Danio rerio: one gene and its partners. The protein of the gene in region 1 binds, or shares a complex with, the protein of each later gene. Links are inferred from orthologs where the notes say so. Each region holds a gene or a part of one and is shown on either strand. Other genes may lie near its edges. The genes, in order: chuk, ikbkg and rela.

Evidence for each region.
Region 2: chuk (region 1) and ikbkg share a complex: the UniProt entries of both Homo sapiens proteins name them as parts of the I-kappa-B-kinase (IKK) core complex. The link is inferred for Danio rerio from reciprocal best matches to the Homo sapiens genes CHUK and IKBKG.
Region 3: chuk (region 1) and rela share a complex: the UniProt entries of both Homo sapiens proteins name them as parts of the 70-90 kDa complex. The link is inferred for Danio rerio from reciprocal best matches to the Homo sapiens genes CHUK and RELA.

The regions. Positions count from the first base shown.
Region 1 is NC_133188.1:28,581,135-28,592,054, forward strand, and holds part of chuk (inhibitor of nuclear factor kappa-B kinase subunit alpha), read left to right. Parts: intron 1-1,753; exon of another isoform or gene 1,754-1,875; intron 1,876-2,123; coding exon 2,124-2,228; intron 2,229-2,358; coding exon 2,359-2,453; intron 2,454-3,046; coding exon 3,047-3,164; intron 3,165-3,266; coding exon 3,267-3,336; intron 3,337-3,429; coding exon 3,430-3,518; intron 3,519-3,597; coding exon 3,598-3,687; intron 3,688-5,594; coding exon 5,595-5,719; intron 5,720-5,831; coding exon 5,832-5,939; intron 5,940-6,021; coding exon 6,022-6,157; intron 6,158-8,058; coding exon 8,059-8,253; intron 8,254-8,353; coding exon 8,354-8,456; intron 8,457-8,574; coding exon 8,575-8,698; intron 8,699-8,784; coding exon 8,785-8,936; intron 8,937-9,022; coding exon 9,023-9,084; intron 9,085-9,268; coding exon 9,269-9,378; intron 9,379-9,457; coding exon 9,458-9,507; intron 9,508-9,670; coding exon 9,671-9,779; intron 9,780-9,863; coding exon 9,864-10,011; intron 10,012-10,920.
Region 2 is NC_133198.1:21,478,488-21,489,407, reverse strand, and holds part of ikbkg (NF-kappa-B essential modulator), read left to right. Parts: intron 1-586; coding exon 587-648; intron 649-836; coding exon 837-884; intron 885-3,052; coding exon 3,053-3,271; exon of another isoform or gene 3,272-3,394; intron 3,395-3,729; exon of another isoform or gene 3,730-4,844; intron 4,845-5,437; coding exon 5,438-5,590; intron 5,591-5,684; coding exon 5,685-5,775; intron 5,776-6,340; coding exon 6,341-6,484; intron 6,485-6,607; coding exon 6,608-6,744; intron 6,745-8,979; coding exon 8,980-9,053; intron 9,054-10,920. UniProt on the Homo sapiens protein: Regulatory subunit of the IKK core complex which phosphorylates inhibitors of NF-kappa-B thus leading to the dissociation of the inhibitor/NF-kappa-B complex and ultimately the degradation of the inhibitor.
Region 3 is NC_133182.1:1,090,642-1,102,008, forward strand, and holds the start of rela (transcription factor p65), read right to left. Parts: upstream 6,900-11,367; 5' UTR 6,848-6,899; coding exon 6,841-6,847; exon of another isoform or gene 6,619-6,840; intron 1-6,618. UniProt on the Homo sapiens protein: NF-kappa-B is a pleiotropic transcription factor present in almost all cell types and is the endpoint of a series of signal transduction events that are initiated by a vast array of stimuli related to many biological processes such as inflammation, immunity, differentiation, cell growth, tumorigenesis and apoptosis.

The DNA of each region.
Region 1 (10,920 bases):
TTATGTGTGCAACATTTGTATATTTATAGCCACCTCTTAGAAATGTCGGGGTCACAATGGTTTTAAGAAAAGACTTAAAAAGTCATACATTTGAAATAGTGACTGACACCTGCAGAAACCATGGTTGTGATGTTCCATTCCACTATAGACATGGTTACATCAAAACGAGTATTAAATATTAAGCCAAAAATATAAAACCGAATTATGTATACGCTACTACTTTAAAAAGTGATATGTGCAAATAAAAAAATACACACTTTTGTCTTTGCAGACTTTTCATCTTTGCATTAACTTGTGTTGTTTTACAGTTTTTTTTTCAGTCGCTTTGGTAAACTTCTCAGATTTGAAATTTGCTAAGCAGTAAGTGCATTTCTCAAAACAGCACATACAAATAGCCAAACAGCATGGATTACCTGCAAAGGCCAGTCTCTTGCTTAAAGTGCTTGGTTCATCTCTCAATGAACATGTCAGTGCCGTCAGAATGACAAGTCCTTGTGTCATTGTGTACGGATAAGACAGTCAAATTACTTACTCATGTTGTCAATGTAACAGCGTACTCTGGATGGACGTCCTCATGTAAGCTATACGGCTAATTTATTTCATTTTTAGATTGACCTGGGAGCAATTTACCAATTATAGATTTAGAAAAAAAACGTCTAATGGAAATGTACAGAAAAATGCATTATGACTAAATATTATGACAACTTGTTCAACTTCTTTTATATAGAATATATATCTCGACATTAACTTTTTTCTCACACCCCACTGGTCATTTTTACGAGACAAAATTTTGTTGTTGAAAACTGTAAATTTGACTTTTGCATGCAAAAAGTACTTGAGTAGGAGACATTTTACTCGATTTGGGTCATTAAAATAACTCTGACTACCAATATAATGATATAGGTAGCCTATATCTGCTGTAGTAACTTAAAACCTACAGTAGTTTGACAAAAAAAAAAAGACCAAAACAATACCCATTCTTGTCTTAAGGAAATTTTTATTGAGCATTTTTTTGAAGAACAGTAAGTTCATGACATGTCAAATATATAGTATATTCTGCTGGTTTTAAACATACATACATAATAATAAATACAGTCATGTAACAACCATAACATTACCATTGTGTGTGTGTGTGTGTGTGTGTGTGTGTGTGTGTGTGTGTGTGTGTGTGTGTGTGTGTGTGTGTGTGTGTGTTTGTGTTTGAAGAGGTATATTTCCATTATTCCAAATTAAGCAGGTGTGAGGAGAATAATTGCGGAACAAATTTTCCAGTTCACATGAAATTATCATTTGAAGATCTGAAGAAATTCAGGTCACCGACCTTGTTTTCGTGACAAGTTCCTACGTCCTGAGTTCAGCTCCAAGAACTTTACTTTGCCCATGCATACAGCATCTGTTAAGACCGACCGATCCTAGATCAGCCACAAGAAACTCGGGCGTCTTTTCACGCTCTGCGCGTGCGTGAAAATTGTTTCGCTTTTGACTGGAGTAGCAGCTGACTGGCGTGGCCGCCGTCAACAACAGTTAACATATAAGTGAGCCAGTCAGTGATACTGTATTTAATCATAATTCAGGCCAGAAATATTTAGTTTTTTAGAAATTCACTTGCGATCTGGTATTTTTTCGTGCCCAGTGTTATGGAAAGCTGACATTTGGGGGCATGTGAGACTGCAAGCTAACTGCTCATGTCGAGATGTTTACGTGTAGCTAGTTAGCCAGTTAGCAAATCTAAAATCCGACCCGATAGCTCGTTTAAGGATGAAATGGACAGCTCTGCCGTTTCCTATGGATTAATTCGCTCATTTTACAGCTCACTGAATTCTCCACATTATATGTGGCTGGTTAAAGCAAGTTAGAAACACAAACGGACGCAAGGTAAGTCACCGGCTGACACTTTGGATTAGCTCGCTTGCTAGCAGTGCCCTAATGTCTAAGTAAATATTATGACGCAAATGAATATTTCGTATTTATGAATCCTCTTTTGTATTGTTTACACCGAAGAAGCCCGTAATAGTTTCCTCAATAGGGCCCAATGTACATAGATCAAACGGCAGCAGCTTTCACAAAGTGGAATCCAGTGATTTTGTATTATAAACTTATGATGAAATGTTTGATGTGTACAGATGGAGAAACCCCCTTTCAGACAGAATCAGGTCTGTGGCTCATGGGTTATGAAGGAGAGGCTTGGAACAGGAGGATTTGGCCATGTCTATTTGTATCAGAATCAGGTACAACGTTTTTATTTTTATTTTTACTATTTATACTATAGATGTTTTGTTGTTGCTTATTTATTTTACTTGTAAAGACTAATGTTGGAGTTTTCACTCTTGGTAATACAGTTTTTTTTTTTGCTTGCAGGAAACATCAGAAAAAATAGCTGTGAAGCTCTGTCGCCTTGAGCTTAATTCAAAAAACAAAGACAGATGGAGTCGAGAGATCCAGATTATGAAAAAGTGTGTACATCTATTATAATCAAATGATTTATTTGTTTTGAGAATTTTACGTGTATATATACACGTAAAATATATGTATATTTGGTCAAGATATAAAATTTTGTCTTAACAATAATCTTGACCAAATGCTATTTAATGAAAAGAACTTGCTTTTTTGTTGAAATCTTGGTAAAAATCCTTTCAGACCTTAAAAGAAAAAACAAATATTAACAATTCGTACTGAAACCTGGTTGAACATTTTTTGTTTTTGTAATGGCAATTTTTTACATACATACACTTTCAGGAATTGAAATAATTATTTAGCATAATAGATGTTTATTTAACTAAAGAATATATTTGTTCTATCCTGTGCTTATTTAAATATTTATAAAATTTAAGTGATTGCACTACATCCCTACATTTTTACCTGATTAAACACATAGTAAGTATAGAAGGATAAAGCAAAGTTTAAGCATATCAAAATACATTCAATCAGTGGTTTGAGGCCGCAGCATGATCCTTATTTACAGTACATAAGTGTCTTAATATTGTGTGTTTGTACACCTTTAATTGTTACATTACTTAATCTAATCTTTTTTTATCCTACTTCTAAGGCTAAAGCACCTTAATGTTGTCACAGCAAAGGATGTGCCTGAGGAGATGATGCACATTGCCTTGAATGATTTACCACTTTTAGCCATGGAGTATTGTTCCAAAGGAGATCTTCGTAAGGTGTGTGCGTGTGACCATAGGCTTTTCTTTTGTATCTGTCAGATGTGCTCTTATATTAAGTTCATTCTGACTCATTTCTGTTTTTTAATTCTTTTTTTGTAGTTGTTGAGCAAACCTGAAAATTGCTGTGGGTTGAAAGAGAGTGAGGTGTTGTCTCTACTCAATGATGTTGGTAATGTGTCAAAGCCTGTTGCTTCTGTTTTTAGTATTTTTACCATCAATAGCTGAGGGTTGTGTGTCAAACTGAGTGTTTTCTTTTGAATAGGTTCTGGAATCCAGTACCTTCATGAGAATAAGATCATACACAGGGATCTCAAGCCAGAGAATATTGTGCTGCAAGAAATTAATGGAAAGGTATTTACTTTTTAGTGGTTAGAATTTTATTCTATAGACATGCTTTTCAAACATGGGTTATGTTTTGTTGTCTATGCAGCTTGTTCACAAGATAATCGACCTTGGTTATGCCAAAGACCTGGACCAGGGGAGCTTATGCACTTCATTTGTGGGGACTTTACAATATCTGGTATGTTTTAACCTGCATTATTTAGAAATATGACAGTTATGGCAATAATCTCACATACACTTTCATATGCTGGAGATTTTTTATTAAGATGCAGGGAATTTTTTGTGTCTAATACCTGTCAGTTTTGAGATTTTGGAGATTGTTCTTTGTACTCATGGGAAAAAAAACATCCACAATGCAATTTTAAGTGTTTATTTTATACTAATTTATAATTATAGAAAAAAATACCATTGTTATTTTAATAACATATTTTTTAAGGCTGTTACCTCAAAATGAGTTTTTCACTTGTAGTGATCCCTGTTTTTACTCCAGTATCACTTACACCAAATTTCCTTACAGTACAAATTACACCAATATTCCAAGTTTTATTCCTATAGGTGTTCTAATGGTTTTTACATTAGGTTTAGATTTATATAAGATATGTCTGGTTATGTAGAAATAAAAACAATAATATAAAATAATAAAACCAAAAAAACAGTAAAAAGCTTTTTTTCCATAGCATTTCCAGGGATTGAAATTGTGACCATTTTGGTCGCATATGCGCCCACAATTTTATCTATGCGACCTCAAAATATATTTGGGAGCATTTGTGTAAGAGCATAAAATTGTTGTGTGCAACCAGTTTTTACTGCAAAATGTTCACCACATGCACGGATTGGGTAGACATTCACACAGAATGCATCTTTGCACTTGAAACGCAGTGCGCAGGAAGGTTTTTAAACAGTTGTCAACATGTCAACTTTGCGTCAGTAAACAAAACCAAGTCTGTAATGCTTGCCCCGCCTTCACGCTTTTCTTATTGGCCCTCTGCTCTAGAACTGATCGCAAGTGGATTGGTTAATATCAGCTGTCAGTCACAATCACTCAGTCAGTGTTTTATGGCTTGGGATGACAGGGAGAGCTACTACCTTAAAAATGTAAAGCACTGAAGATGGGAATGAAGATAACACTGACAGATTTTGTTTTAGAAACCATGGCATCTAAAGTTAGAGATAATGACACATCTTAGTAGTGATCATGTGCTGAATGTTAATCCACCATCTACACTTTTCGAAGTTTGGATGTTTTTTTGCTATTAACATTGCTATTAAAAGACTTCCATTGGCTTCAAGTCCACTATGAAAAAGTCTGTGGGATGGAATTTTAAGGTAACTGTTTGCCACATCTAGCACGAGAGGTTCTGTTTAATCCTTTATTTAATCACTAAATGTTGTCCGCCATGCAAGTGGCAGCTATATGTAACGTTAAAATTTAACACAACGTACACCATCACAAATGGGCTTGCACTGAGTAAACAAATATCGCTACTCGTGAAAAGACCGGTATTGCTATAAACATGACGTATGCATATAATAAGGTACAGTATATGTCAAAAGCATCAGTGCAATATCAGACACCATCCAGGAGAACAGCACAGTTACATGATTAACAGATTCATTCATGTCAAGCAGTGCGTGCAGGGCCGGTGAGCGGTCCGTGTATCTTTTGGTCAGTCAGTTATGTTATAAAAATGTATTTTCTTGTGATAACGGGGTTTCGTTGAGACATATTTTCCTCCAGTATGCATATATATTTTTTTGCTTGTTAGCTTGATTAGTGTTGATTTCAAATGCAATAAATCTGTTTCTATAAAACTTGTAGTAACGGTGCTTATTATTGGTGTGTGGGACTAAATTATGGCTGATGCGCCTACATTTTTGAAAAAAAGGTTAATTTAGAGCCCTGATTTCACAATTATCGATTGATAAAAATAGATTTATTTTTAAAATCCTGTTCACAAAAAAAATCTACTTTAAAATGTGAAAAAAGAAGTAAGAATTGGATCCAATGTTCAGATTTATTCATCTTTATACATTCTTATATTTTTAAATATTCTTATAATAAATTGGCCATGCCATTTATTTCAGGCTCCAGAGCTTTTTGAAGGCAAGTCCTACACAGTCACTGTGGACTTTTGGAGCTTTGGCACCATGATCTTTGAATGCTGCTGTGGATTTCGTCCATTTCTTCACAATCTTCAGCCTGTGCAGTGGTATGTGTCCTCATAACCTGCATGCTGATAATGCCATCTTTCATATACCCTTTCTTCAAGAGGAACCTAGCCATATAGTTGCGTATAAGTAAGCATATATATTTTTTTTTAGGACAAGCAAAGTGCGAAACAAAGGTCCGAAGGATATAATGGCTGTGGAAGATATGAATGGCGAGGTCCGCTTTTCCACCCACCTTCCATACCCAAACAATCTTAGCAGGTACACTTCATACAATTAAAATATATATTAACATGTGTTAACCCGTTATTTCTGAGTTATCAATTTGTTTTTGTTTCCACAGGACACTACTGGAGCCCTTGGAAGGCCTTTTACAGCTGATGCTCAAATGGGACCCTGTACAGAGAGGATTAGGACTGAACACAGATTCAAAACAGCCCCAGTGCTTTGTTCTTCTAGATCAAATACTGAGCATGAAGGTTTGGCATTGACATTATTACATCATTTCTTTATGATGTCTTTAAGATTTATATCTATGCTTTATTTTATACAGTTTGTCTGGTTTGTTTAGTGGTGCCTTCTTTTTGTTGTCATGAATGTGTGTTTGTTTTTTTAACAGTGGTTTTAAAAATGTCATCAGCTATTTAAGAGATGTCTTATTCTGGTTGCCAAGAGTTACACATTTTTCTGCATGTAGTTGAATACGTTATTCATAACCTTCACTTATTTACCCAACCATTTAATAACAGACGTGGAGAAAAATTTCAAGAAAAATAATAGAATAGAATGGAATCTTAAAATTAAAGTCGTTACATGTGAAGTCATTGTGTATCACAAAAAAACTCTTAATGTCTGAATGTTAAAATTAGATGTTAATACAGTCATAAAAGTTCAAGAAAAAAGTCATTATTATGCATATTTCGATGTTATGCATATTTTTAGCAGAGCACTGGCTTGAGAGTAGGAAAGATAACATTCGCCGTGGTACCTTCTCACTCAAACCACTGCTTGCTGCTTCCTCTAGTTGCTTATCGAGAGAAAAGCTGCTTATAACTGTTGGTTCAGGATCAGTATTTGCCACAGATATTTAAAGTGAACTCAGATTTATATAGATCGCATGATCTGGTCCTTCCATGTTTGGCTTGATTACCTGGCTTGCACCCTATTTTAATTGACCATCAAGTTTGATCTTTGGACTTTGTGGACAATGTAGATAAGTTTTCAGCATGGTAAAAGCGTCAAATGTGTTTATTTATCACTAGTGTAATATAAAAGTGAACGAAAAGAGAGTCACTCTAATGAAGTTGTGAAGAACATTTGATGTTTAACTTTGCGTGTCAAAAGCAAGTGAATAAATGCATAGATACACTGTTTGACAAACTCATTTGTAATTAATAGTAGCTTACATCCGTGATTTTGGTGCGACTGTTCATGTCTAAAGTGAACTGGATAGAAGTCCTTTAAGGCTTTCAGGTTTTACGGGTGCAGCTGCAGCTCTGTCTGTGCACCCTGTATTTTACATTCTTTGCACATTACTTTTGTGTTGTGCGAGCATATGCATTATGTCCTGTGCCATGTGAATCCCTTTCAAGTTCTTTATCTGGTCACTCACCGCCTATGTATAAAACTCTTAACCCACCACTCCCAGAATTTCAAACTCACCCAAGGGTCAAGAGTAAAGAGAGAGAGACTGTGGTTGAGTCTTTCATGCTAAACATATGATGACCTCATTGTAAACTATCTAATCTAAAACATTTTCAGTTTACACAGAGAACCTGTTATGACAAAAATGAAAGTAAAAGTGAAACACCTCTGCGCATTTAAATGCAAAATCAGTACCCTGCATATTGATAGGAGCTCTCTGATGTCTGGAAATGATGTACAAAGTTAGCTTTTTTGCTTGAGTAGATACTAAAATTACAGTAGTAGGATTAATTAAACAGTTTCCCATTCAATTCAGCACCATAGCCATGGACAGCACCTTGCAGCATTTTTTTTTTTTCTAAATGTAAATTTTTTTCACCCCAAAAAACACAATTACTTTATTCTTAAAATTTTAGTTAGAGGTTTCTTTTTTTTTTACATTTTATGTGTTCTTGTATTATGATTATATGAGTTTAATATTGCATTATAATCTCAAGATTTAATTAAGTTTTGTCTTTTTTACTATTGCTTTGCCCTAATCCTCATAGTTGACAATAATTATTTGAAAAATAATGCTTGAAGGAACATTTTATTCACCATGAATCTAAATACTCTTTTCATCCAAATTGATTACAAATAACCACTGCACCAATTTCAAATAGCTAATATGATTTGTTGGACAGAACACATCTAAGATAACCAGCAAAAATGAGTTGACGCATGATTTGTTTTGTAGGTTGTGCACATCTTGAACATGACTACGACCCAGGTTCACTCATTTTTGCTAAGCCCAGATGAAGGGCTTCACTCTCTGCAACAGAGGATTGAGAACGAAACCAAAATTGAACTTTTGAATCAAGATCTTCTGCAAGAAACAGGAGTCATGTTAGATCCCAGGAAACCTGCTGCACAGTGTGTGTTAGATGGAGTAGTAAGTATTATTTTGGCTTCTTAAGTGTGTTTTTATCTGCAAAGAAACCATTTTGTTAATCAACATAGTTGTATTTCATTTGTTCATTTTAAATAATCAGAGAGGATGGGACAGCTACATTGTATATCTGTTTGACAAGAGTTTGACCAAGTACATGGGACCTTTAACTGCTAGAACACTTCCCGAAAGTGTCAACTTTATTGGTAAGATATGATTTGGCTTTTCTTTGGATCATTTGTTTAGATGTTATTGCGTGAAATGTGAAGTATTTGTAAACTTTCATTAGAATATTAAAATTCCTTAACTCGTTTTGTGTTTCAGTTCGGGAAACCAAAACTCAGCTCCCACTAAGTACCCTAAAAAAGGTTTGGGGTGAGGCGGTTAGCTACATTTGTGGCCTCAGAGAAGACTACAGCCGCCTCTTCCAGGGCCAGCGTGCAGCCATGTACATACCTTACATTTACTATGCTCGTTAATGTCTCTGTCTTGTGTTTTGTTCTGTTCATAATTGAATCATTTGTTTGTTTGCAGGCTGAGTCTTCTTCGCTTCAATACAAATTTGACAAGATACAAGAACATGATGTTCTCCTTTTCACAACAGCTCAAAGCAAAGCTGGACTTTTTTAAGACCAGCATACAGTACGACTTGGAGAAATACAGTGATCAGATGCAGTATGGCATATGTACGTTTTTGAATATGCTGCTTTGTTGATAAAGCTAAAAATGTGTTATTGCATTATTGATTAGTAATAATCCATTTTTTTTGTAGCTTCAGAAAAGATGCTGAAGGCTTGGCACGAAAATGAAGAGAGGGCTGCTGCTTTTGCACAGGTGCTGTGAATGAATGATACACAAAGTAGTTTTAAAACCTTTAATAAATAGTCATCTAAGTGGATTTCACATTTTTGTAAAAAAAAAAATCTTTTTGACCAGCATATCTGTTGTGCAAATGTATTTGTATGTGGGTTTACATTTGTTTTAACTACAACTAAAACAACTTTTTTATCTTCTGAAGGTGGCAGAGATTGGTCATCTGGATGAGGAAATAATGGCGTTGCATTCGGAAATCGTTGAGTTACAGAGAAGTCCTTATGCTCGTCGTCAAGGAGATGTCATGGAGCAGTTGTGAGAACCTTTGTTCAGAAATAAGCTTTGTGAAGTTTATCAGCATTTATTTTGACATAAAATCTTGTTTTCATCACAGGCAAGAGAAAGCCATTGAACTCTACAAACAGTTGAAGGCAAAATGCAAAAGTGAGTACAATTCTGTTTGCATATTTACTTTTCAAGTCAATGACAATCCCTCTGTGTCCTTTTCCAAGTAGTCAAATACTCGAAAGAAAGTAATGCATCATCATTGGTTGCATTAGTAAGTCAAGAGGGTCAGTGTATAATGTATGTTCTTCATTTCCTCTAGTGCCAGACCCTCAGCATGGCTACAGCGACAGCTCTGAGATGGTGAAGGTCATAGTACAGACTGTCCAGAATCAAGACCGGGTGCTAAGAGATCTATATGCACACCTCAGGTAAAAAACTTTTAATGCCACTCATTTATGTTCAAATGGATTATACAGTTAAGGTATTTTACTTTTCAAATTTGGCCTTTGCAGTAAAATCCTTCTGAGTAAGCAGAAGATCATCGACCTCTTCCCTAAAATCGAGAGAACGCTGGAATGCATAAAGGAGGCAGACACCACAGTCATGCAGATGCAGATCAAGAGACAGAGAGAGTTCTGGCACTTACTGAAGATTGCCTGTGTGAGTCACATGCTTTTAATGTCTGAAGGACAGATATGCTTTTAATTTGCACATGAGCCACATGATCCCGGACTTTCCAGGGGTAGGGTTATATGCACATTAGTGGTCAGACCGAAATCTTATATTACAAAATGAGTAAAACAAAAAACTACACCATTTAAAAGTTAGGTGTGATTTTTAGTAAGGAATATTGTATGTCTTGGTCATTGTTCTCACTAAATAAAACCTGAGGCATATTCTGCAAAATGAACCGGCTAGATATACATTATTCTGTTCATTACACAGCTTCTTTCCTCAAAACTAAACAAGTAGACCCAGCTGACATAAAAACGGCTGAATATAGCCCACAGTAACCTACTTATTAGTAAGCGGCAATATGGCACCAAGCTATAAAGAACAGTAGGGTGAAAGATAAAGATATTAATATTAACACTTTTTAGATAACATTGGTCTGTAACGGTTATGCAATTGACCCTTTGCAGGCAGTTTGATTGACAGGTGATCTGGCCAATCATAATGCCAAAATTTTGCACCTCGTCACAGCGCGCCAATTTCTTTGACAAGCAGAACAACCAGACTAAACAGGCATAGTGAAGTGACATCTTTGATTGTAAAATTGTCAACATGTGCTTGTAATTGACTTGCAGTGCAGATAGCATGTACCCAGAAAGGCTGGGCAAATGTTTAATATTTTCTGAAAGGAGAGTATGAAATGGGTACATTTGTGTGGACGACTCTGCTACTCATTTGAATTGAGAAAGTATTCATTTATGATCACTTTTTAGTCATATCACATTAAAGGGAATTTTATATAAAATCATGGTGTACTCAAGAGTACACAAAACTAATCACTTTCTGGCCATCGGATATTAGGCATGGATATATATATTGCAATCATGATTTTCGCAA
Region 2 (10,920 bases), on another chromosome or scaffold:
AATTCCTCCTTCAGAGATGAGACGTTTTATCAATGTTTATGTTTTTAAACAAGTGGCAAGAGGAGTGGGATGTATTGAAAAACAATACATTGTATGACATTCAACGTGAAATCTCAAACTGAATTTGAAGACATTTTAAGACTAGATTTGATCAAGTGATTTTTACCAGATGTCATACAAGAAAAACACATGGTTATTTGCTCAAAGGTGACGACCCTACTCAATGTTTGTACTGCACAATTCCTCTTACAGTAAAACACATTCTACTGGACTGTCCTGTTTTTAATGATTCCAGAAGAATATGAAATAAATTCTCTTAAGGACATTTTAAGCAAATTATTATTTTTTAATTATTTTTTATCATGTATTAGCGCTAAAATCTTATTTAATTAATGAATTCATTTGTTTGTTAATTTTTAATTGTATATTTATTATTAAAATGTTCTTGCCATAAAAAATAGCCTTGCTTGCTGGCATGGCATTAAATAAAAAATACATGCATACATCAGTGTTGTAAACGGTTACATATGCTGTCTTTCTCGCATGTTAGTAACTTGTGTTAACTGATTCCTCCTGTGTTTATCAGAATGTTGGGGTTACTGAAGAGTCAGTCCCGCCGACGTGTGCTGTCACTGTTCCTGCAGAAAGGTACAATCAGATCTTCAATTTCGTCTGCTTTTTCTCTCTCTCTACAGCTGACCATGAAGCTCTGTCATCTTTGCATGGTTTGATTGGATTGTAATAAGTCTCAAAGTGCTTTTCTTCCTTTTCTTCTAATGTAAATGGTTTGGAATTTCTTTTTTCTGTCTTCTCTTTGAACCCGTGTGTCTGCTTAGCTCTCACTTGGCTAACATAACTGAGCAGCTTCAGGCCACACAAGGCAGGTGAGGACAACCGTGTCTCACTCGACGTGTGCATGAGTGTCCATCCCCTCATTCAGTAAATCCTGACAGCTGATGTTCAACTGTTTTATGATTCTCATATAGACAGATGTTCACATGCTTGAAGTCAGGAAGATTATTATTTTTTAATTGTAAGAAATAAATTTGTCATTTTATTAACTAATTATATTCACTTTATATTCACCTTTTATATTCAATTTATAGTGTTCATAAAAGATTTTAAATCATTTTCTATGAATGACATTCAGCATGTTAGATTAATTTTAATGATCATTTAACAATGAGGACTGAAAGGTAATGGCTGCAAAAAAATCTGATCTAAATGTTCTTTTATAGAATATATATTTTAATAGAAATATTTTACTTTTCATGGTAATATTTACCAAAGATAATGTTTTCACTTTTGATCAATAAATGCCGCCTGGTTAAAGGTATAGTACACAGAAAAACGTAAATTTACTCACTATCAAGTTGTTCGAAACTTTTATTAATTCCTTTCTTCTGTTGAACTTAAAAGAAGATACTTTGAAGAAAACTCAAAACTTTATTAATATGGCATTTTATTAACAAGGACAGTCAGCACTGGTATTTAAGAGAAACTTTCTGAAATGGCACAATGTATACATTTACATAGGACAAATGGACATTATTTGAGTCAACATGACTGTTAACATTTTTTCAATGATTTGTACACTTGCATATGACAGTCAGTAGCTATGTTTCCATCCAAAAATGCTAATTAACTTCGTGCGCAAAACTGGGTTATCGCATAAAAGACGTGCGAATAAAGCAGCGTTTCCATCCAACAAGTCAAAGCAAACAAAATGATCACTTCCTGATTATCTGGCACCACATATCAACAGTAAAAACATAATTTGCTGCGATAAGAGAAGCTAAGTGAATCTTTTCTTCTTTTAATAAATGACTTGCGCCTCAGAAGGCAGTCCTAACACGCAGTGAACTCGCGGAGGCGTTGAAGGCGTGAGACGCGAATCACAGATGCTCTTGATTCTGGAGGTCATTAGTAATATAATACAGGATTACTGAAATGGTTACGGCATTTTAGAAAGACCAAAACAACATTTCAGATGTTTTACAATGTGTTCAGCCTCCTGGTTTGTCACATGATCTCTCATTAAAAAACCACAACACCTTTTTTTAATGCACATGCTGGAATTTGTGCAGTAAAAGTGTTTCGATCATTGTTTATCTTTTTTATCGAATACAAAGTTTATCCTACTCAGTTATGCGTTTTTTTTTTAACTTATTTTCAAAATTTCTGCACTTGCCGTTTTCATTAATCTTTTTTTTTTCTATTCGCATATCCAAAATGTGCATAAAAATAGGTGGATGGAAACGTAGCTAGTGATAGACTGGCCATCCTTTAAGGGAGTTTTTAGCATTTCACTTTTAAAAAAGCATAGATGATCGTGTAAAATTATTTGTATGATGATTATGTTATTAGCGGATGTTTTTATTTGAATCTCTCCATCTTAAATATTAAAAATAACTTATTGTTTCATATTCTGCTCATTGTAGTATGTGATTAAACTTTACATGTTACATGTTAAAATTAACCTAATTTATTGAACAAAGTAGGGAGGACAAATACTAAGGAAGTCAATGGTTAGAGGTTTTCAACATTCTTCATAATATCTTCTTTTGTGTTGAACGGAAGAAAGAAACTCAATGAGGTTTGGAACAAGTGAAGAGAGGGTAAAGAATTAACATTGCACAAACATTGGTTAAAGTGTCTGTATGTTATTTATTATGTAGAGATTTTGTTTATTTTTATTACACTAGGCCTGAATAGTGACGTTTGTAAAAGTAGCCTAAATACTCAAATAGCTTGAGCTCTCATTAGGGGCTTTTGCACCAGTGGAACCTTTTTATAGTTCCTAGAACTATTATTGGAAGTTCCTGCTTTTTGTTGTTTGCATTACAATTTTAATTATTTGTTCTTTACTGTTTTTTACTGCATTTGGTACAAAAGCAGTCTGGTCAAAACAAATGATCATGAACAAACTCAACACATTTCAGTCCCCATTTTACAGCTGTATTTGATGTCATTCGCTTGTGATCAGATGCGCCAGAAAACTTAACACCAGGTATAAAGCGGGTCTAAAACAAATGTCTGTGCTGTGATGCAGGTACAGGGAGCTGCAGGAGAAGCTGGATTGTCTTCAGAAGAATTCTTTTCAGAGAGACAGAACTGAGGCTCTCCTTAAACAGAAGGAGAAAGAGTTTGTTCAGGTACAAAAGGACAGTGAAGCGCTGAGATCGCAAGTAACGTCGCTTCTCGGAGAGCTGAACGAACGACAAAACTGGCTGGAGAAGAGCGAAGCAGAGAAACGAACCTTAGAAGACAAGTAAGTGAATCTCTTTCAGGATTTTGCAAAAAACAATTCAGAATTTATTTTATTTTGTGACTAAAATAAATTTTTATTAAAGGGATGATCCACTACGATATCATAATTTAAACTTTAGTTGATGTGTAATGTAGCTGTGTGAACATAAACAACATCTCTGAATGTAATACGCTCAAAGTTCAATGCAAAGGGAGACATTGGCTTTTACAGAGTTAGCTTAGCAAAGCCTACAGTGAACAAAGTTTGGGGACTACAAAAGTATATATCCATGTTAGTGAGATTACTAATGCTTCAGGTTACGTGCATTTACCACACCCATACACCTCACGCAGCAAAGGGCATGGCCAGAGGCGCTATAATGTTAAAGCAGAGAAAGCTAAAATGCCATCCAAACGCTGCTATTTCCACAGGCTTCCTTCTGCTTGTGTATTTGGGCTACCAAAGGACATGACACAAAGACAGAAGTGCTTACAGTTTAATTTTAATTGTGTTCCAGATAATTATAAAAAAGATATAGCTAGCATTTGACAAAGGACAACTTCCAGAATCTCTCCCAGTTCAGGTCAAACTCCTCAAAGGAGGAGCAGCTCCAACCATAATAGGACTGTGAGCAACAATCCATAAATGTTTTTATTTATTAAATTGATCTATTACAAGCACAGTTTCTATCGTTAATGGTATGTTGTAGCAAGGATGTAAACATCACAGTCAAATCACAGAAAACACCCAAAATCTTCAGCAGAGCTGCAGGGTCTGCGGACGCTTTCCCTGCGTTCTACATCTCAAATAACGAACTCACAAAAGATATGTTAACATTTCATATTACTTACCCAAGCTTAATCTAATTATATGTGAAAGACACTTGTCAGATTTGTCAGCAGGCGTGAAGTTCAGCTGTGTCCTCTGTGTCATTTTCTGTCTGATTCAGGCTCAAACTGATATGGCTAACAGCTACTCTGACCGACAGTATTTACACAGCGCAAAAGTGTGTGCTTGTAGGGGCATGACACTTTTCCTGGTGACTTGGGGCCAATTATTATGTAAGCTGACCAATCAGTGCCACTTGAGGAGGAACTAGGAAATATGACAGTCATTTTCATGTTAGCTGAGTAGATGTATATAATTAAAGTAAGATATGTAAGAAAATAAAGTGATTTATTTTTTTATTTTTTTTTTTACAAATGAGCACACATTGCTTTGCAACTTATAAACAACCAAACTGTAAAAATACACTCTGGACCACTCCTTTAAAAAAAGTTTGTGTCATATTTGAAAATGAAACCAATTGTTCGCGACATAAATGCTAAGTCGTGTGTCGGTGTGTCTGTGTTTGTGTGTGTGTACAAATATTATTGTCCCAAGTTCTCGCATTTAGATTTGCAAGCTCTCAAGGTTTGCTTCTGATAAACCTTCATATTTACCCAACTATGATGACTTCCACTGCTGAGAAACTTGGAAATGTGAATTAGGTCCATACAAATAAATAAATATTTTGTGACATTCGCTGGATTTTTCATAAGGTCATACAGTTGGAAAATCCTTGTCTATGCCTTGTTTTTTATTTGTACACTGTAAAAAAAAAAAAGAAAAAAAAAGTGTATATACGTGTATAAAATATATATATATATATGTGTTTGTGTGTTTATGTATATATATATATATATATATATATATATATATATATATATATTTGTGTGTGTGTGTGTGTGTGTGTGTGTGTGTGTGTGTGTGTGTGTGTGTGTGTATATATATATATATATATATATATATATATATATATATATATATATATAAATATAAATAATTGTTTTATAATGGTATTTTAACTCATTTTAATAAGTTAACTAGGTTTAATTGAATGTCTTTTGTCATCAGTTAAAGTAAATTAATGACTAGAAAATATAATTTGATTTAACTAAAATAATTTAGGTTGCAGTAGTGTATTTTTTTGTGCGAATCATGATTATTAATAAACAGATATGTAATTTATAAATGTAAATTTTACATTAAATAATAATTAGCACAAGTGTTGCCATAAAAATAGCCAATGCTGCAGATGAGGCGTTAAAAAAAAAAATTAAGTGATAACAGAATAGCAAATCCTGAAAGGTCTGCTCTTTTTTTTTATCAGAGCATCTTTGTATATATTATCGGTTTAATCTCCAGGCTGGTCACGAAGAGTGAGCGTCTGCAGACTGTAGAGAGAGAGATGGAGCAGCAGAAGAAGCAGCACAGCGTGACGGTAGACAATCTTTTACTGAAGACACAGAATCTGGAAGCCGCACTGAAGAACGAGAGGCTCGTCATAGTGGAGGAGAGGTGAGTTCAGCGGGATGTAGAAAGCAGCTTCTTGCTGTGATTGTTAGAGTTGTGATGGCAAGCCACAAATCCTGTTGCTCTTCTTTTTGTCTAGGAGGAAGCTGGCCCAGCTCCAGCATGCATACACGTGTCTGTTTCAGGATTATGACAACAAACTTAAAAGCGAAAAACAAGCCAATCACAGGGTAGGTATCTGCTGTTTTTAAACTGTTTATTGGTTATGGTACCATTTTCCTTTAACATTTCTGTTCGTCTTTGACCAGTAATGAAGAAAAAATGTAAAAAATAAATGAAATGTTTTATTTTTGTATTTATTCATACGTTATATTTTTAGAGATGGCTTTATATTGCTGTATGTTATTTTATTTATTTAATTAAATTATTTATTTATTTATTCATTTATTTATTTAATTTAACATTAGCTTGTTTTAATTTAAATTTTTGATTGCTTTTTACGGTGTGTGTGTGTGTGTGTGTGTGTGTGTGTGAGAAAGTCAATAAACCCAATAAAATTACATTTATTATTATTCATCATATTTGTAATAAATATTTTATGGTTACAAATTTAAATATGTAAATGTTTTAGAAAGTTTTCTCAATAGTAGACACTAGTCATTGAACTTCTCTTAAATTGAAACGCTACAAATCTGTGACTTCATTTTTGTGGTAGACACTTAAAATAATAGGTCAGTGCATGGTTTGTGCTCTATAGTTGTTCATGGAAACTATGTGTGGTATTTACCTTTTAAGGGTGGAGAGACGGATACCCTTGCTAACAGGTTAGGGGAGGCTGAGAAAGCACTGGCCCTCAAACAGGAGCACATTGATAAACTCAAGGAGGAAATGGAGCAGCTGAGAGCTAAATTAGAGACCATACCGGTGCTGAACCATCAGGTGAAAATATACTTTGCATTAAAATTAAACACTCATTTTTTAGGCTCTGCTATAAATGTGTATACGATTTAGATCTTGCATATAGTAACACAAACACAATGGCGACATGTTTTATTTTTACAGGCAGAGATCTATAAGATGGACTTCTTGGCTGAGAGGGAAGCCAGAGAGAAACTCAATCAAAAGAAGGAAGAGTTGCAGGAGGATCTGAATAAGGCATTGGTCGAGATTGAAAGATTCAAGCAAGAAAGAACCTCACGGTATCAAAGTTATTTTATGTATTGGTTAAATTGAATGTCTCAGGGTATCCGCTGAGTCTTAAAAAGTCTTAAAATGTGTTAAATAGCAAAAACTATTTTAGGCTTTAAAGTCTTAAATTCACAGAAATATTGTGTTGTAGGTCCTAAATCATTTTAAACAGGTCTTAGTTTTCCTTTTTTTATGTAAAGCTACTCAATTAATTCAACCTATATCCAATCACCAACAATACATCTAAAAAAAAAACTGTTAGCAAAACTCTTTTTATAAATAATACTATAACAGTTTGTTGTGCATACATTTAGTTAAAATTTTTATTTTTAAAGTTTTTAGTTAGTATTTATACAAATAGGGTCTGCTTGTTTTGATATTTTAAATATTTAAATTAGTTATTTTAAATATGTGGCTAAGAAATAACTCATTAGAATTAGTTTTTTGATTGGGAAAGTATTTTTTTAAAATCCTTCGCGTTAAGTCCTAATAAAGTGTAAATTTAATTCTTGATGGTCTTAAAAAGTCTTAAATTGGACAGAAACCCTGATATTTGATGGTTATTTCCTCAGTTTTTGCATTTAGTTTAGCTTTGTCATTATTTTCTACTTAATTCAGCAGATCCCAGTATGTATATGCATGATTGTCATTGTGCTTTTTAATGCCTAAAATCACTAGTAAATAACAGAATGTAGTTTCTAGTTTATGAATTAACTAACATGAAAATAGTTTTTATGTAAGATTTGCATTTCCCATTACTGTCATCCTGCCCCGTTTTAATATCATTATTTTTAGAATTATAATACTTAACTATTTTATATGAGTTTTGGGGATAAAGAATCGATGTGTGGCAAAAGCCCATCTATTCAGGAAGAAATCTTCAAGTTCAGCATCTCAATTGGAAAAAATGTCCATTTCAAATCAGTCCATCCATCAACCTATAAAACACCAGCAGTTTTTATCCTTGTTTTACCATGGTGCATGTCTCTGTTATTTGGCTACACTTTGAATTCAGAGCATGTCTGAACTAAATTTCTAATGTAATGTATAGGCCATTATCCCACACCGTTAATCCCTCTTTGAGTCATTGATTGATCGATAGAAGCGAACTGCTTTTCAATATTTGATGATAACAGCGAGCCTCTGTAGTGAACAATAAGCAAAAACTCGGTTTAAGAGAATTTTCTTTGGCTTCAACTTTAAGTTTTTAATATACATTTAAATTAAAAACAGTAGCATTGATTTATGTTATCAATCTCTGCATTTCATTTAAAGGTGCAGTAGGAGATCTTCCACAATGCTAACAGCTTAGCATAAATCTCTGAATCACAGTCCCTCCCCTGCCGTCTAGAGCCACGCCTCCTGAAACACAAGCACAGCAAAAGAACCCTCTCATGTGTTAAAAGCGACTAGTGCATGTCCGGCGGCATGCAAGCCAAACTGACATGCTATTTCAGAGTGAATATTTAGAGTTGCATGGTTAACAATATAGGGAGAGACTAGGCGGAATAGTGGCGTTTACTTGTGTTTTGTTGTTAAACTAATTAAAATCTCCATCATTGATGCTGTAAAAGGACCCTTATGAAACTGAAAATAGTCTTATCAATCTTTCATCGGAAGATTTTAGGAGCTGAACAACACTTCTGTGAAGATATAACCCAACATCTAACGTTACATCAGCTTAGCGTGAAGCTAAAATAATTTTAAAACAAAACATTACCTGTCTAAGAGAAGGCCTTCAGACATGGTGTCATCCTTTCTCCAGCGTGCAAAGGTAACTCCAATATTGATTCAGGTTTTTAAAAAGTTTTGATTCAGCATGTTTTTACCAACCGCGCGCGCGTGCACGCATTCTCTCTCTCTCGTGAACGTGCGGCGGTTCGGCAGAACTGCGTACAAACGGCTGCGCAGTTGTTCAAATCTGCATTTGCTGACAGACAGATTGAGCTACTTATCGGAATTATGAGAGATGTCCGTCCGACTCTATTTAATTGGATGAACATTTTTTTGTTTTATGCCTTACCCAAAATATAAAAATACATTAAAATAAATTTAGATCATTTACTGTAATCATTACTATTAGACTGTGAAGAGACTTTCAACCAGTACAACAAAAATTGCTCCTGAAGACAATCACCTACTGCACCTTTAAATTAAAATCTAAATAAATTCAAATGAATTGCATGAACTAATGTCCTCTCCCTCCTGTTGTCCAAGCGTTTGATGTGAATGTTGTTTCCTCACAGAGCTCGCATTGAAGAGATGCAGCAGAGACACTTGGAGGACTACAGGCCTCGACCTCACCCGCCACCTCCAGCTGGTAAAACACCTGTTTTCTTCATTAATTAATACACAGGTGCTTTATTTCCTTTAAGTTAGTTAATTAGATTTACAGGCTACATGACAAAATGCATCTCTTTAAAGAGTCATTAAGCCACTGTTCTCTCACCACAGGCCACAAAGGTGAGGTGTGTGTGTGTGGTAAAGCTACTGAGTGTAGGGGAAGTGGTGAGACTTGGGCACCACACAAATTCACTGAAATTTGTTTTAAAACATAATTTTTATGCTTTGTGTTCACATAGCTAACTATATATATATATATATATATATATATATATATATATATATATATATATATATATATATATATATATATATATATATACACATACTTATATATTCTCTGAATATATTGTTACAATGGTAAAAACAACAACAAAGAAACTTGACACAGTAGAGCAGAGAAACCCTACTTTCGGAAAAGCAACACAGAGAGAATGCAGAAGTATAAATGCTCACAACAGAGTCAGCTACGTGCGAGAGGTGTGCCGTGGGCTACAGAAGTATACATTGCAGAAGTATAAATTGGGCTTATCCCAGAAGATGAATCTCGTTTGAAAGGCATTTTTGATGAGGACAAGACTTTAGCTGCGTTCTGGTCTAATTTTTAAGCCCTTCACTTGCCACTTTACTTTCCTTTGTCTCATTCCCTCGGATGTATGTCATTGATTACGTTACACAACTATACACTGCTGGTGGACAATCTGAATGGGTTTTAATGGAATGCCCTAACCCCTTAAACACCTGGGACATACACTGTTGTGATATCACAATCACATTAAATTCTAGGTATATATAGGTTCTGAAGTGTATGTATGATACCAAATCACTCCATCGGCTAAAACCAAGGGATCGAGGGAATGTCAGTGTAAACTTCATGAGTGTGCTTCTAAAGGCTGGTTTATACAATAAATATGACCCATGGCGCATACCTTGCAAGTTGCCGTGCATTTAAGTCTGATTTGTACTTTTATGTCAAGCACACGTGTATGCTCTGCCACAGCCTGCGCATGGTCGCATAGCCCTTGCCATGGCCGACACCGATGCGCACCTCTCAAAAAAATGTAATTACACTTTACAACGACAAATGAATGTAGGCGAGACGAACTGATGAGTGTTGGCGAGACCGAGAGCCTCGCGAACCCATTGGAGCGAGTGAGTCCCAAGATAAAGCTCCAGATGAAAACTTCTGTTTTGTGTTTTCCTTATGGTTAAAGTTAATGCATATCCGCTGATTTCTGCCTCAAAATGAGCGCGTTTGAGCCACTTGTACATTATGGTAGCATTGAAAAAGAATCTCAACACAGAAGAACATAAAAACCTCACTGCCAGCTAGTGTTTCAGAAGTGTTACTGCAGAGCAACACAAAGTGCACAGAAGTATAAATGCATGACAATGCGCGAGGCAGGCGCCAAGGGTCTCCCTGATCACACGACACAGAAGTATAAACTAAGCTTGAAACTAGGCTGATTTATACTTCTGCATCAAGCGCGCACATATGGCCTGGCCCAGCCTTTGCGCTTTTGCATAGCCCTCGCCATGGCTGATGCCGAAGCTGATGTACACCTCTTAAAAAATGTAACCACACGTTGCAATGACGCGTAGCGCAAGCTCTGTGATTGTGATTGCTCTGTGAAGCTCTGTCGGCTTAGTAGCAGTGACGAGCTCGTGTTTACAAGTGTCGAGTCTCGTGAAGGATCTCCAAATGGAAATTTTTGTTTCATGTTTACCTTATGATTAAAGTTGTTGCACATCGGTCGATTTTTCGCCTCTGAATAAGCTAATTTTATGGCCCGTTTCCACTGAGTGGTACAGTTCGTACCGTACTGTACCGTACCACTTTTTCT
Region 3 (11,367 bases), on another chromosome or scaffold:
TACAACACAGCTGATCTCAGGGACACTGGAGCATATTAACGTTGTGATTCATCAGCGGATCGCTTGTATGTCTGCTTATCGACAAACCAGCTGATCATCGTCACTTTAAAATGCTCCAGTGTCCCTGTATCTGTGGCTACACTACGTAAACAGTAATGAGTTCAGTAAACCGATGAGCTTCACGGCCAATCACAGTCATTTCTGCTGAGCACGTGAACACAAATCAGCACTGTTTAAGAACGCGCTCAACAGGACAAAGGGACATTTTTAAAGTACTGATTGGTACTGAAATCCAGTGTCGTGGCAACTCTATACACCTAGACAACATCTATATGCAATATTATTGCAGGGTAACTATGTATATATTAACTTCTGTGATTGTAACATTACCCTAATCTGATTGCAATACATTAATGTGCACCTTCTATAAAGCTGCTTTGAAACATCAATTATTGTAAAAAGTGAGGATTTTATCCACATCAGTCCAATTGCTGGTAATGTTGGAGATCTTCAGAAACTTCAGAGATTAAAACAACAACAACTAAATAAACAACCTTAAAGCTGCAGAACAGGATTAGTCACTCACAAGTCTGACACTCTGAAACGAATCTGAAAATAACTCACATTTCAACAACAAACTGAGCTGAATCTGCCAGACCACACACACACACACACACACACACACACACACACACACACACACACACACACACACACACACACACACACACACACACACACACACACACACACACAATACATTCATCAATTACAATACATTGATCAATAATCAACACTCCTATTGAATAACTCTAAACACAAAAATATTACGTTGATTTTAGGCTGCATATGCTGGAATAGTTGGCGGTTCATTCCGCTGTGGTAACCCCTAATGAATAAAGGGTTTAAGCCAATGGAAATTAAATGAATATAATAGTGCTGGGGCGAGGCAGTGGTGCAGTAGGTAGTGCTGTCGCCTCACAGCAAGAAGGTCGCTGGTTCAAACCTCGGCTCAGTTTGCGTTTCTGTGTGGAATTTGCATGTTCTCCCTGCCTTCACGTGGGTTTCCTCCGGGTGCTCCGGTTTCCAAAGACATGTGGTACTGGTGAATTGGGAAGGCTAAATTGTCCGTAGTGGATGAGTGTGTGTGTGTGTGTGTGATTGTTTCCCAGAGATGGGTTGTGGCTGGAAGGGCATCCGCTGCATAAAAACGTGCTGGATAAGTTGGCGGTTCATTCCGCTGTGGCGGATTAATAAAGGGACTAAGCCCACAAGAAAATGAATGAATAATAGTGCTGGGCAAAAATGAATCGTGAATAAATTGAAAGTGCAAAAACACTTTAAAAAGTAGGTAACATTAATAAGGACTTAAACATATTATGAGAGCATGGCATTAGACAACTATAATAATAATAAAATGTATATATATTCAAAGGAAAATCTGATGATAATAACACAGACTTGTTGCTTCTCAATCACTAATGCAGTAGTGTGCTTATTTATGTGCTCTAACGAAGTATAAAAGTGATTAATAACAAAATAAATAAATGTAATGTAATTAATAATAGATCCTCTGTGTTTTTATTGACATGTTTGATAAAAAGCGAGCGTCTTCAAATCTCCAGCCCTCTCTGCTGTTGTGTTTTCTTCCGTACGCTGTGTTTTCATTACACTCAGGAGACTGATAAAAGAAAAAGAAAGGAAAAAAGAAGAAAATCCAGAAAGGCCGGAAGACGGCGAGCACATATTGACCCAGTTAAACCTGGAGGAGTTTTATGACTAACCCGTCTGCTAGTCGAGATCTCTGGATGTAAACAGTCTGTCATCATCATGATGCAATCACAGCACATTTACCATCAGTCTGTGATGAAATGAGCATAAAAGAAAACCCTGAAGCAAAGTAAAATCAGACTAAGAAAAAAATGAGTCCTAAATCTGTCTGATGCTGATGTGCATTAGGGTGCTTGGTTATTGTCAGATATAGGCACAGCTAAAGAAGTTCCGGCAGGTTTACAGTGGCTCCAAATCACTACACTGAATGATTAGTGTTATTTTAACTACAGCAGTCAGAAATTACATCAGAACACAACAGAAGGAGGAGGAGGAGATGTGGAGGACACACAGGAGACGCCTGAGGAGGACACACACCTGATTAACACAGTCTCAAACATAGAACATCTCAGCAGTGGATTCAGCAGCGGTGCTGGAGACCAGATGAGAAGAGCACTCCAATCCCCTGTCAGAAGAGTCTAGTGTGTGTGATGAGCTGTTCACAGTGTCTGCTGTAGTGTTCATGCTGTTCTGGTGTGTTTACATGATGAATATGGCCACGGTGTGAACACACAGTACAGTTATGATCTTATTGCCACATTATATGTCATGATAACATGATATCTGCCTTCAGTGATGTCCTGAAGATAAACACCAAACAACACAACTGGAGTAACTCCAGCAGTCTCCATCGTCTGATCTCATATGAAGCAGGAGATGGCGATGACACATGATGACGTGTGCAGATGCTGTAGTGCTGGCCCAATTCTTAGGGGTGAATTTTAAAGCCCTTCCCCTTCACACTCTGTTTCAAGGGCCAAGGGGAAGGGGTACAACAATAGAATTGGGATTGGGCCTTAGAGAATATTGGACATCTCTGCTTCACCGCATCACCACCTCAGGTTTGCTTTACTTTCTAACACTGTAAAACAGTCCATTGTCAATTACTCCTTTCTTGACTGACGAGTATAAACACAATGCTGCTACAGGTGTCGCACAGAAACCACAATCTCTGAATGTTTACACACTATTTAACATAACTACACAAAGGCCCAACGTCAGTCTGTGCTTCGGGCGTCTTTTGCTGTCAAATCTCTACTTTTACAAAGTCAACATGAGAATATGGTAGAAATTTGTCATATTTTTTAAGATAAACACTTAGAGCAGGGGTGCTCAAACTCGGTCCTGGAGGGCCAGTTTCCTGCATATTTTAGTTTCAACGTCATTTAAACACACCTGAACTATTTAATTAAGCTCTTTCTGGGTATACTAGAGACTTCCAGCTAGGTGTGTTGAAGAAAATTGGAGCTAAACTATGCAGGACACCAGCTCTCCAGGACAGTATTTGGGCACTCCTGACTTAGAGCCTTAAATCTGATTATTCGTTTGAGGAAGGTCTACAGTATTTCCAGAACCTTTGCTATCTCTGTTCCTCAGAACTAAATGATTTTTAAGTAAAGGACCATGTACATCCAGTTGGTTGTGTTATTGCAGAATAAAGCATGAGAGGTTAAAAAGATGAGCTTTTTTCGGCAAAATATTTTAATTATTTTTTAAATGTTATTGATTAATTGAGGTGAGAGTGTATGGGTGTTTTCCAGTACTGGGTTGCAGCTGAAATGGCATCCGCTGTGTAAAACACATGCTGAAATAGTTGGAGGTTCATTCCGCTGTGGAATGTTACTGTGTAAAGACACAATAATCAAAGTAGCATGGCGAACAATATAGGGATCATTAAAATGACTGAATGTCCAAATATAAAATCAACTTTACCTCATTCCCCTAAACATGTTAATTAGCAGATATTTACAATCAACAAGTGGCCAAGTAAACATTTTGAGCAGCATTACTTAACCTAAATCAGTTATTTCACAAAGGCGACTTTGACTACTAGTTAACTAGGCATGGGACGATAACCGTTTTCAAGGTATACCGTGATATGGAAAAGTCCAGGTTGTGACTAAACCCAGATGTTCTGCTATACCGTTCCTGAGGTATGTGGAAGACTTGTGGAAGACTTTTTAATTTAAATATTTTTCTCTTTTTTTTAGGAAAACAGTATCTCCAGGAGAAAAGATTTCCAAAAATGCCATTTTAGATCATAAAGAAATCTGTGTTTTTGAAACAAATGAAGACAGCAAAGGCGAGGCAGTGGCGCAGTAGGTAGTGCTGTCACCTCACTGCAAGAACGTCGCTGGGTCGAACCTCGGCTCAGTTGGCGTTTCTGTGTGGAGTTTGCATGTTCTCCCTGCCTTCGCTTGGGTTTCTTCCGGGTGCTCAGGTTTCCCCCACAGTCCAAAGACATGTGGTACAGGTGAATTGGGTAGGCTAAATTGCCCATAGTGTATGAGTGTGTGTGCGAATGTGTGTGGATGTTTCCCAGAGATGGGTTGAGGCCGCTGCGTAAAAACTTGCTGGATAAGTTGGCGGTTCATTCCGCTGTGGCGACCCTGGATTAATAAAGGGACTAAACCGACAAGAAAATGAATAAATGAATGAAGACAGCAGAGGTCAGTGACTCATTGAATTATTCAACCTGACATGTTTACTGCTCCAAAATATATTAAATACTTCTCAAATTAAGATATATTGTATTCAAAGGGAAACTTTTAGTTTTTTACTCAGACATTTAAAAAGAATATATTTTAGAGCAGTAATCACTATCCCATGAAACTGTGGTATCTTTATCCAAGGTTATTATACCGCCAGAATCTTATACCGACCAATGCCTATAGTTAACTAGAACTAATCAACTAACCTACCACTAACAACAACACAAATATTGTAATAGAGCAGCTTTACTTTCTCTCAATCAGTTCACAAATGTAACTTTGGTTACTAGTTAGCTATGACTAACCAACCCAACACTAATACATGTTTATTATCAGATATTCACAATGAACAAGTGGCCAAATAAACAAGCTGCATTACATCCTCTAAATCAGTGAGTTCACAAAGGACACTTTGACTACTAGCCATAACTAGTACTAACTAACCCATGTTTATTATCAGATATTCACAATGAACCTGTGGCCATTATTGTGATACATTTGCTAAATCAATGAGATCATTAAGGCGACACTGACTACTAGTTTTCTAGCACTAACCAACCCACCCCTAAACAGGTTTATTATCAGATATTCACAATCAACAAGCAGCCAAACAAACAACATTTTGAGCAGTATTACTTACTCTATATAAGGAGACTTTAACAGGTTAACTAGAACGAACCAACCCACCTATTACCAAACATGCTTATTATTAATATTATTATGATTATTATTATTATTATAAAACATTCACAATGAAACACAAATATTGTAATGGAGTAGCTTTACTTTCTCTAAATCAGTTCACTAACATGGCTTTGGTTACTAGTTAGCTACCACAAACCAACTAACCTACAACTAAACATGTTTATCATCAGATATTCACAATGAATCAGTGGCCAAATAAACAACACAAATATTGTAATAGAGTAGCTTTACAAAAGTACCTTTGGTTACTAGTTAGCTAGCACTAACCAACCCAACACTAATACATGTTTATTATCAAATATTCACAATGAACCTGTGGTCATTATTGTGATAGAGTAGCTTTACATTTGCCAAATTAGTGAGTTGATTAAGGTGGCTACTAGTTTTTTAGCACTAACCAACCCACCCCTAAACAGGTTTATCATCAGATATTCACAATGAATCAGTGGCAACAGCACAAAAATTGTAATAGAGTAGCTTTACTTTCTCTAAACCAGTTCAAAAAGGTGGCTTTGGTTACTAGTTAGCTAGCATTAAACAACCCAACACTAATACATGTTTATTATCATATATACACAATGAACAAGTGGCTAAATAAACAAGCAGCATTACTCACGCTAAATCAGTGAGTTCACAAAGGTAATTATGACTACTAGCCATAACTAGCTCTAACCCACCCCTAAATATGTTCATTATCAGACATTCACAATAAACCAGAGGGCAAACAAACAACATAAATATTGTGACAAAGTATCTTTACTTTTGCTAAATCAGTGAGTTCGTAATAGAGTTCATTGACTACTAGTTATCTAGCACTAACCAACCCACTCTAAACATGAGTATTATCATCAGACATTCACAATGAACAAGTGGCCAAATAAACAAGCAGCATTACTCACGCTAAATCAGTGCGTTCACAAAGGTGATTATGACTACTAGCCATAACTAGCACTAACCCACCCCAAAATATGTTCCTTATCAGACATTCACAATAAACCAGTGGGCAAACAACATAAATATTGTGACAAAGTACCTTTACTTTTGCTAAATCAAAGAGTTAATAATGGCGTTCATTGACTACTAGTTATCTAGCACTAACCAACCCACTCTAAACATGAGTATTATCATCAGACATTCACAATGAACAAGTGACCAAATAAAGAGTATAGATATACTTTGAGTAGCTTTACCTGTGCTAAATCAGTGAGTCCATGAAGGAGATGAGTTTATAACCAGAACTAGCCAACACACCCCTAAACAGGTTTATCGTCAGATGTCCACAATGAACAAGCAGCCACATAATACAAATATCACGTTAGTGCATCTTTACTTTCGCTACGTCAGTTAACGTTAGCTCACACAGGCGATGAAGTTTACTAGCTACTAACTAGCATTAACCAACCCACACAGAACTTAGCAGTTAACGTTACCAGGAAAAGTAACATAAGTTAACGTAACCTTGTCAACAAGCCACTTTCCGCGTATCGCGTGATCTCTGAGGACTTTTTGACAAGTATTTGAAAGTGTTTTTGTTTGTTTGTGTACACACACACACACACACACACACACACACACACACACACACACACACCTGTAGGCCGCGATACGTCAGCTCTGCAGCCTTGTAATGGTTGTCGTGTTTGATTCTCGTGACCCGTTTACCGACCTGAGCCCCGGAGACAGGGGACCGATCGATTCTCAGCCGAAACCGAGAGTAAAAGTTTAGCGGCGGGACTTTCCCTTCCGCGCGACACCGCAAACCCCCCGTTGGCGCCGTTCACATGCAGAAACCCGGCATTAAAGCTCGACTTACCGTCCATGTCGCGGGTCTCCACAGCTCTCGGTCACTTTTTAACGTTTCCGGGCGACGGTGAAAAATAAACGACACACCGCGACAACACTTTCCTTCCGCGCGCCTCCGCGGGACTACAGCAGGCGCGCTCCCGTGGGCGGAAATACCCGGATGACGCGATTCATCATCACCAACACGACTGCTGAGAACACACGCGCACTGTAGATTAGCTTATGGGCAGTATTTAGCAATACAAACTTATTTGTCGACCAAAATCAATGTCAAATGAAGATATGGACTCAGATGTCTTGTTACATATTCACTGTTTTTGGAATAATATACTGTATTTGGTGACAAATAATGAGAATACTTTTGGCTTCTTCACTAAGAAAAGTCTGACATAATCATCTAACTTATATTCAACTATCTAGTAAACTATCCAGGCCTGTAGCCAGGGCGGTTCAGAAGACCCAGCCCTAAATGACTAGGGTCCAGAATTTGTCAAATACAGTTGAAGTCAGAATTATTCGCCCCCTATTTATTTTTTCCCCCCAATTTCTGTGTAACAGAGAGCAGATTTCTCCAACATATCTCTAATCATATAGCTTTAATAACTCATCTCTAATAACTGATTTGTTTTCTCTTTATCATAATGACAGTGAATTTGACTAGATATTCTTCAAGACACTTCTATACAGCTTAATGTGACATGTAAACAAATCAGACTTTCTCCAGAAGAATAAAATATTATCAGACATACTGTGAACATTTCCTGAATCTGTTCAACATCATCTGGGAAATATTTAAAAAAGAAAACAGATGCAAAGCCCTGCTAAAAAATCCAGCTTAAACCAGCCTAGGCTGGTTGGCTGGTTTTAGCTGGTCTACCAGGTTGTTTTAGAGGGGTTTTGGCCACTTCCAGGCTGGTTTCCAGCCATTTCCAGCCTGATCTTAGCTGGTCAGGCTGGAAAATGACCAGCCAAATCCAGCAAAAACCAGCTTGACCAGCCTGGTTTAAGCTGGATATAGCTGGTTTTGGCTGGACTCCCAGCTTGGCTAGGCTGGTCAAGCTGGTTTTAGCTGGTCATCTCCCAGCCTGAGCAGCTAAGACCTGGCTGGAAATGGGTGGAAACCAGCCTGGAAGTGGCCAAAACCCCTCTTAAACCAGCCTGGTCGACCAGCCTAGACTGGTTTAGGCTGGATTTGTCAGCAGGGAGGGTGCTTATAATTTTGACTTCAACTGTATTGCTGGCAATGCGAATCAGACTCCTACTCTGTTCATACAGGGATGAGAGACAGCCCTAAAATAAATATTTTTGGTACATCAAAAAGTGTGGTTATAATGACCACCCAACAAGCTAATCCAGCTAAACATAGTAGTTTAAATGACAGCTAAATACAGTATTTAAATCTCATAATTAAATAGAAAACGAGACGAATAACTGCAAAAAGGTCCAAAAAGAATCACCTCTTACCAAGCTGACTACCAGCCTCATATCGGTAACTCTAATAACAGTATTCCCACAAACGCTCATTCTGGACTGTCTGGTTACATCACTTATTTAGAGAGTGGACTTTAGTTGTGGAGACACGGTGGCTCGGTGGTTCGCACTGTGGCCTCACAGCAAGAGGGTCGCTGGTTCGAGTCCCGGCTGGGTCAGTTGGCGTTTCTGTGTGGAGTTTGCATGTTCTCCTCCGAGTGCTCCGGTTTCCCCCACAGTCCAAACACATGCGCTATATTGATCAACTAAACTGTCCATAGTGTATGAGTGTGTGTGTGTGTGTGTGTGTGTGTGAATGAGTGTGTATGGGTGTTTCCCAGTACTGGGTTGCAGCTGGCTAGGCATCCGCTGTGTAAAACACATGCTGGAATAGTTGGCGGTTCATTCCGCTGTGGCGACCCTTGATGAATAAAGGGACTAAGCTAAAGGAAATTTAATGAATGAACTTCAATTGTTTTAGGTCGACTTTTCCACTTTTATAAACATATCATATTATTTCTGTATTTGCCCAACATTGTATTATTTAAACACAGACCACTCTCATTGTAAATTTATTATTATTTGCTTTTTCTTGCTAAACTTTACTTTCATAAATGTACATTTGAAAAAAAAATGCTCCTAAATGTAATTTTCTGAGAATATTCTGATTTATTTGTGAACTATTTAAAAGGCTATAGTGATTACACTGCGTGTAAAACTCGTCTTAATGCAAATCTCTTACACTTGTATAATTTCCTGGGATTTATTTAAGTTATGTAACCCTCTTTGTTCATATTCTGTCTTCTTTATGTGTTCGCAAACACACACACACACACACACACACACACACACACACACACACACACACACGCACTAAAAAAAATGTACTCACTATTGATTCTCTGTCAAGTGTTTTCCAGCCTCTCTGAGTTTTTTATTGTTGAACACACAAAAAAAGATAAGAAAGCCTAAAACCTGCAACCATCGACTTCCAGTAGGAAAACAAATAGTGAGTTAATAGTTACACAGTTCTGGCTTTCTTCATATCTTATGTAGTGTTCAACAGAGTGAAGAAACTCAAACAGGTTTGGAATAATGACTGAGTTATGGACTGAGTTATGTGAAGGATGCCATGAAGGAATGAACAGTCAATTGTGGAAAGAATTTGATAGCAAAGTAAAAGTGAGATACTTTAATACTCCTTCTGTAATATCTAGATGTGTAAGAAGACCATCTGTAGCTTTGTGCTGGAGAAAATGCGGTAAAATCGGTGATCATACTCACATTTTTGGTACTGTCCATGGAAAAATGTTAATAAAGAAATAGATAAGATATTAGACAGAAATACCCCATCCATCCAGTTATATGCTTATTGGGAGTGTAGCCCTGCCAGTCCTACACCACTCAACCCGCTCTGAACTGGTAACTAACTGGCGACCTTCCGCATGGGAGTCGGCTGCTCTACCAAGGAGGCTAAAGGCCATGACCTCTAGTGTCTGTCACTAGAGCACCTTTAGAGGTCAGAGGAGTGAGGTTTACCTGCACAGCACACACTAGCTGACCTCTGCTACAGAAGCACTGCCCAAAGAAATGTTTAATAAGGAAACAACATTTGTCCAGAGGATATTATTACTGGTTGCAAAAAAAAAAAAAGATTACAGTACATTGGATGGAAGAAAGTTCTCCAAAGCTGCACTGCTCAGTGGATTCAGAGAATTAAACAGGTCTATATAATGGAAATAATGACTGCATGTCTACAAACGAAGACTGATATTTTTCTGAAGAGGTGGAAAAGTATTGTGACACATTTAGATATGTATATTTAGAGGTTGCTTGACCTATCATCACTTGAATTTGATGTACAATGCAACACAGTGTAACTTGATGTACAAATGTATCCCCTGTGAAATAATTACGATGGCGATACTGTCATGATTACCAGCGATCGGATTCCATAAGATCGCTGGTTCTCACTCAACATAGCCTTGGACTACAATTCCGCCATTGTTGGACTACATATTCATGAATGCACTCCGGTCACACTCACACATGCTTCCTCATCTAGACTGATTACTCGCACCACCTGAGGATTGTCAGAGACTGATTGCACACACTACTAAAGCCACACACTCACCTATTCAGTTGGCTGAGTCTTGTTTATCAGTAGATGACATTATTATGCGTTATTTCTTGTCTTGTTTCCCCGTGTGTTACCTGTATTCTCGTTCTCCCTGCCTGCCGCTTGCCTTTTGACCTCTCGCCTGTATACTGATTATGATTCTGGACTGTCTCCATATACTCGTTTGTACCTGTTTTGACCATTGCTTGCCTGACAATGAATGAACCTGCACTGTGGATCATACCCCAGTTGTTTGTGTCACTCCCCGTCGTTACAAATACCTTTTATTTTTTTATTTATATTATTATTATTATTTAATTAATTAATTAAATTATTTATTTATTTATTTATTATATTTTCATTATTATTTTTTATTATTATCTTATGTATATCCTCGTGTGTAAGGAGTTCATTTGTTGGGGAAGGGGTTGTTCTGAAAAAAAAACACCGAATTGTCCTTTTTTTTGTGTGAACTATCCCTTTAATATTAATGTTTTTATTTTCTTATGCTTGTCTCTTTTATTCCTGTTTATGTAAAGCACGTTGAATTGCCATTGTGTATGAAATGTGCTATAGAAATAAACTTGCCTTGACTAATAACTGCACAGACACCACTCATCTGTTCCACTTCTGTCTGATGATTCCCAGAATAATACATAATACAATCAAAAGTTTGTCAAATGCTCGATTAAATGAGCAAAATATCAGTGTACGCTATTTAAAACCTTCTATTCAGACTACAATACTGCACATTGCTGAGACTGACCAGCAGAGGGCGCAGAAACTCTGTTTACTGTACATCAGTCTGCTGTAAACCAGACTAATATACACATGTCTACTGAACACCAGTCTACTGTATGATTCTACTGTACTCCAGTCTACTTTATATCTGCCTACTGTACATAAATCTATTGTATATATACAGTGCTCAGCATATATGTTCATCCC